Linked DNA regions of Schizosaccharomyces pombe. The protein of the gene in region 1 purifies or fractionates together with the protein of each later gene. This does not show direct contact. Each region holds a gene or a part of one and is shown in the gene's direction. Other genes may lie near its edges.

Region 1 (4,366 bases):
ATTTGCTGATTTTGAGAAAATGTCTCCTCCCGTTGAGCCTGATCCACCTTCACCTGAAGAGATCTGCTGTATTATGTACACTTCTGGTAGTACCGGTTTACCTAAGGGTGTAATTTTGAGTCACAAGAACATGGTTGCAATTGTCACTGCTATTGTCAAGCACGTTCCTGAAGTTACCTCTAAAGATTATCTTTTGGCCTACCTTCCATTGGCACACATTCTCGAATTTGCGTTTGAAAACATTTGTTTGGCTTGGGGTGGTACCATTGGCTATGCCAACGTCCGTACTTTGGTCGATACTAATTGCAGAAACTGCAAGGGTGATATCAATACCTTCCGTCCCACTATCATGGTTGGTGTTCCCGCTGTATGGGAAATGGTACGTAAGGGTATCATGAGTAAATTAAACGCTGCCTCTGCTGTTAAGCGTTCAGTTTTTTGGACTGCTTATTACACTAAAGCAAAGTTGATGCGTCACAATCTTCCCGGTTCTTGCGTATTGGATACCGCTGTATTCAATAAAATTAGATCTATGGGAACCGGTGGTCGTTTAAGATACACTTTATCTGGTGGTTCTGCCTTATCTCCTGACACCAAGCGCTTCCTTTCTATCGTTCTCTGTCCTATGTTAATCGGTTATGGTTTGACCGAAATTAGTGCAGCTGCTATGGTTCAGAACCCTGCTTGTTTCAATTTGGACGATTCAGCTGGATCTCTTTTGCCTTGTACTGAGATGAAGTTAGTTGACTGTGAAGAGGGCAACTACAACTCTCACGGACACCCTCCTCGTGGTGAAATCTGGCTTCGTGGTCCCTCTTTGACTCGGGGATATCTTAACCGTGATAAAGAAAATAAAGAAAGCTTTACTCCAGATGGTTGGTTCCGTACTGGTGATGTTGGCGAATTGACTCCAGAAGGATTGCTTAGAATTATTGATCGTAAGAAAAACCTCGTCAAAACTCAAAATGGCGAGTATATTGCACTGGAGAAGCTTGAATCTCGCTATCGTACGAGCAGTCTTGTTTCGAATATCTGTGTATATGCAGATCAGACCAAGGTGAAGCCTTTGGCAATCATCGTTCCCAACGAGCCCGTCGTTCGTAAACTTGCCACTGAACAAGCCGGTCTTAGTCCTGATGCCTCTTGGGAGGAAGTTTGTCATAACAAGAAAGTTCGTCAACTTGTTTATGACGACCTTATTCGTATTGGTCGTAGTCATCATTTCGCTAATATCGAACTTATTCAAAACGTCGTCCTTGTTCCCATTGAGTTTACACCCGAAAATGGATTGGTGACTGCAGCTCAGAAATTACAGCGTCGCAAAATTTTGGATCGTTTCAAGAAGGAAATTGACGCCGCTTACGCCGAGTAAAGTCATTTAGATAAAATGTTTGCAGGATATTTGCCTTTAGTCTTTTATATATTTACCTCGACATTCTCCTTTAGTTGGTATGACACCTCAAATTTGCAACGCTATAAGTAATCAGCCGCCTTGGTTGGTGCTAAGGACTTTAACTTAGATTTGTTAAGTCCTTTGGGAATTCCTTTTCTTTTTTTCAGAGCATTTTCTCTTATTACAACAAAACATTTGTCCTTATTTAATCATGAATGCTAGATTTATGAATGCACCAAATTCCCATCCGGGTATGATTATAGTGTTTTAGCTAGATGTTCTTATACCCAGTTCAATGATGCTGGGTTTTTATTTTTTTATTTTGTATTTTGATAATATCTATATTAACGGGAATTGAGAAATTTTTTAAAGAGCTTTGTACAGAATAATAGAAGATGATGGTATTGCAAAACCTGGCTATTTATAGTGATCGGTAATAGAGATCTGCAGATTATGGCTTCAACTGACGATTGAATTGAGATGACCGGTGCGAAGTTTGTCCTGGTTATTAACGATCCCTTCAATTTGAAATCCACAATTTCATCCGCTTTTTCTAATAGTAGCAACAGAAAGCTTAAACTAATTTAGTCGCAAGGTATCATCTCCTTTTTAAGAAAAGTTCAAGTAGTGTACTGCAACGTAGACTGCTATGTTGGTATATCAAACTTCTACTAATGTATGTTAATTCAACACTACAACAAATTTTCTGGTGATGAAGGGCTCACCCTCTTCAAACATCTTTTGTCTATAAAATGAGTTCATCGTATGTAATATATTTTTTTGTGAAAGAAACTAACAAAGTAGGAAATCACTGGATTGGGCTGACGATGAGGACTATGGTACTGGATTGCCTTCGATTCAGACGTTTGATAATCCCGATGGCACAAAAACCATGATTGAATTTCGCATTGATGATAATGGCAAAAAGGTGAAGGTTACCAGAGTTATACGGAAAACCGTTATTACGGAGCGGGTGCAACACGCTGTGGCGGAGCGTAAGAAATGGAAAAAATTCGGAAAGGAAGCAGGCAAGAACAGTGGTGTTGATGCTAGAACCACTAGTGTTGGCGAAAATGTTCAGTTAAGACTTCAACTTGGTTGGACTACTACGAAGGAAGAGGAGCAAGATGAGGCTGCTTTGGCTGCCGCTAAGGTTAAGGCAAAGGGTAGCTCTGTGGTTCGTTGTCGTGCTTGTAAGGGTAACCATTTTACCGCTCAATGTCCTTACAAGAGCATTATTGGACCTGTTGATGAGCCTCCCTTGGATGCTAGTCCTGTTTCTTCAAGGGCTAGTGGTGCCTTGGGCGAAAAGGGTCGTTATATAGCTCCTCATCTTCGTGCTGGCTCAGGGCGTGAGAGTGGTGATTCTATGTTCAAACGTGAACGTGATGATAGTGCCACTCTTCGTGTCACTAACTTATCTGATGATACCCGTGAAGAGGAACTTCGTGATTTGTTCCGTCGCTTTGGTGGTATTCAACGTGTATATTTGGCAAAGGATAAGGAAACTGGTCGTGCTAAAGGTTTTGCCTTTGTCAGTTATTACGATAGAGATTGTGCTATCAAGGCTCGTGATCGCTTGGATGGTTACGGTTGGAACAATTTGATTTTACGATGTGAATTCTCCAAGCCTCGAGATTAAGTTTCTTTTAATTATATAAAAATTTCTTGAAATTGGATAAAGGTCTACGTATATAAAAAATTTTCTTTTTTCTTCCATAAATCGTTCCCTTATTTTCACCCATGTATTCAGTCTAATCCCTCGGATTGTCTTAACCACCTTACCCGTTTCTGAGAGCTTTCATATGTTATACTTTTTAATGCTTGACATTGTTCAGGCTCTATTATCCCTAATTGCATTGGGTTTGGTAGAATGCTAAAATTTCCTTTTTTGGGGTTGTATCTGCGTAGTGATCGTCCCATGGTATGTCTCATAAATCTATGCTAAATTGGAAAGGATCCTTACGTTTTGTTCCTCTGCTTTTGCTATTTAAAAGAATAAAATTAGGTTTCATTTACTTATCGTTTGTTTTCTTTTCCTCTTTATACTTTTTATATTTGAAATGGTTGCCTCTGAAAAATTTTTGAAATAACTTTTAGTATTTTGTAGCAATATCATGAATGGTTTAAAGCTGTACACTTGCCTTGATGATTGGTCTTTTGGTACCTTTTTTTTCAGATTGTGAAACAAATTTTTACGCGCGAAATTAGATTGCTGGTGTACTTGACGAGTTAAGAAAAAATAAGGGTTTTTAAACTGACTAATTTTAACTATTTTAGAAAATTTTTTTGTACTCCATTGTTATAACTGCTCCAAAACCATTTGTTATTTTTTCAGCATGTAGTGCTACATGGAGAGTGTAAGGATTCGCAAAATCCATTAATGTTGTAATTTGAAGCAACTTTCTCGTTTGTGTCTTCATTAATTACACCAAGGCTTTCTAGGTTAAGCTGAAAGAAAAGCTAATTTTTTCAACTGACTACTTAAGCAGTTTTGACTTTACCAATTCGACTTTCATTATTACAACTTATGCTGTACATTCTTTTTTTTAATATCTATAATATTAAATATTTATGAGATCAAGCGAAGGCCCCTTAACTCAGTTGGTAGAGTGTGAGATTCCAAATCTCAAAGTCAAGTGTTCAAGTCACTTAGGGGTCATATTTTTTATAAGTTTTTATCCTGTGTTCAAAGGCATAGCAAGTTTTAAGAACACATTTGTCATAAAGATTTAACAATATAACTCTCATATCCGTTGAAATAGCTGGTTCACTTCATACGATAGTATTGACTTTTAATGACCATTAATCTTTGCTAAGACGGCAAAGTAATATATACTACTATTAATTACATGACAAAAAACAAACATACATCGACATATAAGTGCAAAACAAATTTTACTATAAATTTAACCTAAAACGACCAAGGCACCATTATAAGAATAAAATCAACGAAAAGTATGCTTAGTCAAC
Region 2 (4,274 bases), on another chromosome or scaffold:
ATGGGATTTGAATACTGGGAAACCATTAATGGTTTTGCCGTCTAATTCAGGCTACATTAGTAGCTTTGTGTCAGATGAACACAAAATTATTAGTGGTAATGATGGTTCTGTAAAGTTATGGGATGTTAGGACTGGAAAGCTGTTACGTTTTCTATTAACAGACCTCACAAAAATATGGCATGTCGATTTTGATGCTATGCGTTGTGTGGCTGCAGTGCAGCGTGATGATCAAGCATATTTGGAAGTTATTAATTTTTCCGGATCAAGACCGTAGAAAGTTTCATTTTAACAATATTTAAGAAGACATAATTAGAGTAGTGTCTAACTATTTACATCAGCTACTAACACATATTAAATGTATACAATGTAAAATTAACAGCCAAAGCCTATCAAAAGTAAATAAGTAACGAAGGATTGAATAAATTATGCTGGTTGGTTTTGTAACTGGTATTGAATTAACATTGGGAAAAACTTCCAGATAGAAAAATCCGGCCAGTAGAAATCGATGAATTTTATCTCCGTATTTTTGTGACACTGATAAAATTAGTTGAATATCTTTGACTAGAAAATTAGGAGAATTTTTACTTACCTGCCATAACATAAAATCAGATAGACGCTCCACACCGCTAGTGCGAATCAACAAGTCTAAAGGAAGACTATCTTTTATCAATAGGTTTTTTTCAAATATATCTTCATCTATATCTTCTGGAGTGATTGTACCATCTTCTGCCATTTTTACTATTGATTGCACAGAAGTAGCAATTTCATGTCGAGAAGTGTATGGAAAGCAAACATTTAATGTTGCCCTAAGATGTCAATTAGCAAAATAAAAATTTGAAAAATTTCACATACTTTGTGTTATGTTTTGTAATTTCCACAGCCTTTAGAGCAGTTTCTAAAACGTCAGGTTGCAACCTGCTAAGATCGCCAACAATGCGAATACGGATCCCATACTGATCAACCAAATCACCATGAGCAGTAATTTGCGTTAAGCTGTTTTTTGCAATCTCCATTAACATATCAACTTCATATTTAGATCGCTTAAAATTTTCAATGGAGAATGTGAAAGCCGATACTTCTTTAACTCCTAACTTCAGACACACTTTTAATAGCTTACGCAGGGTTAGTTAATGTACCAAATTGTGCAGAACGTAGACGGATACCAATGCGCAAAACATGGAGAAACGGTACGTTTAACCTTCTATTAATGTTCTTTAAACTTACAGATTTTAAAGCTTCAAAACCTGAGCTATGACCCTCGATAGTTTCCATCCTTCTTTGACGAGCCCACCGTCGATTGCCATCCATTACAAAGGCTATGTGTTGTGGTACTTTGCCACGTTTAATTGTATTTATCATCATCGTTTCTAATTGATCAAGTGTCCATTGTAATGGAGGACAGTGAATAAACCAGCCTGATAAATTACCCATATTGTCAAGATATTTTGTCAATTCTTTTCTTTTCCTTTATAAATGCACGCTAAATATCAAAGAGAAATAATTATCTTGATAAACAATTATTTTCAAAAAACGATTAGATGTTTTTGACGCTTCTATAAAACACTCAGGTTATCCGGTTCTAGATATGTTTTATAAGTATAATTACCAAGCACGCTAGAAAAGGATTTTTAGCTAAGGAAATATACTTTCAATCGTAAACGAATGGAACAAAGAGACGCTAGTTTAAGACCAAACGCTTTTGTATTTTTTTTTAAAAATCACGAAAGAAATATTATTTTTTGTACAAATAAGTAAGACAGACAAAATTCAAACAAAACCACAAAATACTGTTTTCAAAGTGAGACGTGCGACCTTTGGGTCTAACTAGTCTAACGCAAGTGTCTCAGAAATGAAGCCAGTTCATTTAAGAGTGTCGTTAAGCCTCCTTATTTTTAATACCATCCTTAAGTTACGCTAATTAGAATCAAAATATTACAACTAAAGACTTTTCGCTCAAACCCTCTACCAGCACTTTCCTGTTCAAAAGATGAGGCCTATCATTTTACAGGGTCATGAGCGTCCTTTGACTCAAATAAAATATAATCACGATGTAGGTTTAATAACCGTCCATTATATGTGGAAAATTTACTAATTTTTGTGTGTAGGGTGATTTATTATTCTCATGTGCCAAGGATAAAGTGATTAATGTCTGGTTTTCACACAATGGTGAACGCCTAGGTACATATGAGGGTCATACTGGTGCAATTTGGACTTGTGATATTAATAGTACGTGAAAATTGGTGGTGATGTATGTTGGATTAAGACATCTAAAGGTATACGGATTATGGAAGTATAAGGAAACACGAATAATGAAACATATCATGACTCTAATAAATGTATTTTTTTTATTAGTCGTCCGATTGCAGATGGTTATACTCGTGATCCACGATTCTGAGTTGGCGTAGTACTTAAAGTTAAATATGCATGGTGCATCTCCTTTACTTATATTAATGCTACGTTTACCTCACTTCACTTCCTCGTGGAAAGCATTTAAACTTCTTTTAAATCCTTTTCCTTCTTCTTGATGCCTCAAATCCAACTAGATCATCTGTTCCTTTTCCAATGGTTACTAACTGAAACAGAAAGTAGCACTTTAATGGTTAGTGGAGCCGCTGACAATACCATGCGTCTTTGGGATGTTAAAACAGGAAAGCAGTTGTACAAGTGGGAATTTCCTACTGCTGTCAAACGTGTTGAGTTCAACGAAGATGATACCCGTATTCTTGCTGTTACCGAGGAACGTATGGGTTATGCTGGTACCGTCACTGTTTTCCGTGTTCCTATTTCGGAAAGCGATGCCGCTGCTGAAACCCCCCTTTACGTTATTACTACTCGTGAATCTAAAGCAACGGTCGCTGGATGGTCTTACTTGAGCAAGTTTCTCTTTACTGGTCATGAAGATGGCTCCGTTTCCAGATACGATGCTATAACCGGAGAATTCGTTGAATCTAAACAAGTTCATAATTCTGGTTCTACTATTACTGATCTTCAGTTTTATCCTGATCGTACTTACTTCATCACTTCTTGCAAGGATACGACTGCTAAAGCTATTGATGTTGATTCTTTTGAAGTCATCAAAACATACCTTACTGATACGCCTCTTAATACTTCTAGTTTTACTCCTGTCCAAGACTTCGTTATTTTAGGAGGTGGTCAAGAAGCCCGTGATGTTACTACTACTGCTGCTAGACAGGGTAAATTTGAAGCACGTTTTTATCATGCGATTTTAGAAGAAGAGTTAGGCCGCGTTAAGGGTCATTTCGGTCCTATCAACACAATAGCTGTCCATCCCAAAGGAACCGGTTATGCTAGTGGTGGAGAAGATGGTTATGTTCGGGTGCACTTCTTCGATAAAAACTACTTTGACTTCAAGTATACATTGTAGGTTAATTTTATTCAAAAAACTGTTGATAGTATAGTAATGGACAACGGAACTTTTTTCCAAAGATGTATCATTTTCGTTTAGGGAGCATTATATGAAAAATAACCTTCTATGAGTACAAGAGTTTTTTAATAAATTCCATTCAAAATTCAAATGTTTTAAAGTGAAAAGTAATGTAATTGTCATATTCCGTAAAGCAACTAACTTATCAAACGCTTCTTTTAACGAGCTTTTGAAACATGTTTGAGGAGAACAGCCCCAGAAATTATAATTGCTCCAAACCATATGTAGTTGTCTATCTTGCTGTAGGCTGGAGTCGTTATTTCTCGATAACTAGGTGTTTTTTTTGGGAAGTATCCCAAAAGTCGGTTGATGAGATTTTCGTCGAGCATGGCAAGTTCCTCCAAAGACCACAGTTCGCAAATCTCAATCATCCATCTCATTCTTTTGCGACTGTTTTCAGGTTCGGGAACAATGTCTCGTAATTTTTGTCGTAAAAGGCCAGTTTTTTCCAATGCCATACCAGTAGCTGGATTGATTGAACTTTCGATTTTTTTTCGTATTAAACTGGCAAGTTTTGGACCTTTACCATTGGTGCTAACCATAATTTGTAGAGGGCCGTTACGGATTTCAGACCCAAAGTAGAAATCACATTCAGGTGGAATATCCGCCGCATTGACCGGGATTTTTTTGCTTTTGCATAACTTATAAATTTCGGAAGACAAGCTGGGATCATCTATGGCTGTAAGTACCATGTTTACATCGTCAGACAAATCTTCGACTAGAAATCCCCTGTCTCGCCATTCAACTTGCTTCTCCTGTATTCTCCAAGCCACTTCTTTACAAAGACCAGCTTTTGGACTTACAACGATAACATGGGCATCCGCATTCA

Evidence for each region.
Region 2: the proteins of tif307 (region 1) and sum1 purify together in Schizosaccharomyces pombe (affinity purification with western blotting, with the first as the bait; one study listed by BioGRID). This does not show direct contact.

The regions. Positions count from the first base shown.
Region 1 is NC_003423.3:1,770,878-1,775,243, forward strand, and holds tif307 (translation initiation factor eIF3g), read left to right. Parts: upstream 1-2,125; 5' UTR 2,126-2,145; coding exon 2,146-2,156; exon of another isoform or gene 2,157-2,197; coding exon 2,198-3,035; 3' UTR 3,036-3,670; downstream 3,671-4,366. Other genes in the region: long-chain-fatty-acid-CoA ligase Lcf1, read left to right, coding at 1-1,372.
Region 2 is NC_003424.3:5,356,969-5,361,242, forward strand, and holds sum1 (translation initiation factor eIF3i), read left to right. Parts: upstream 1-1,955; 5' UTR 1,956-1,987; coding exon 1,988-2,050; exon of another isoform or gene 2,051-2,105; coding exon 2,106-2,226; exon of another isoform or gene 2,227-2,582; coding exon 2,583-3,385; 3' UTR 3,386-3,536; downstream 3,537-4,274. Other genes in the region: F-box/WD repeat protein Pop2, read left to right, coding at 1-274; rer2 (cis-prenyltransferase), read right to left, coding at 424-534, 590-806, 853-1,112, 1,225-1,431; met8 (siroheme synthase), read right to left, coding at 3,604-4,274. UniProt on the Schizosaccharomyces pombe protein: Component of the eukaryotic translation initiation factor 3 (eIF-3) complex, which is involved in protein synthesis of a specialized repertoire of mRNAs and, together with other initiation factors, stimulates binding of mRNA and methionyl-tRNAi to the 40S ribosome.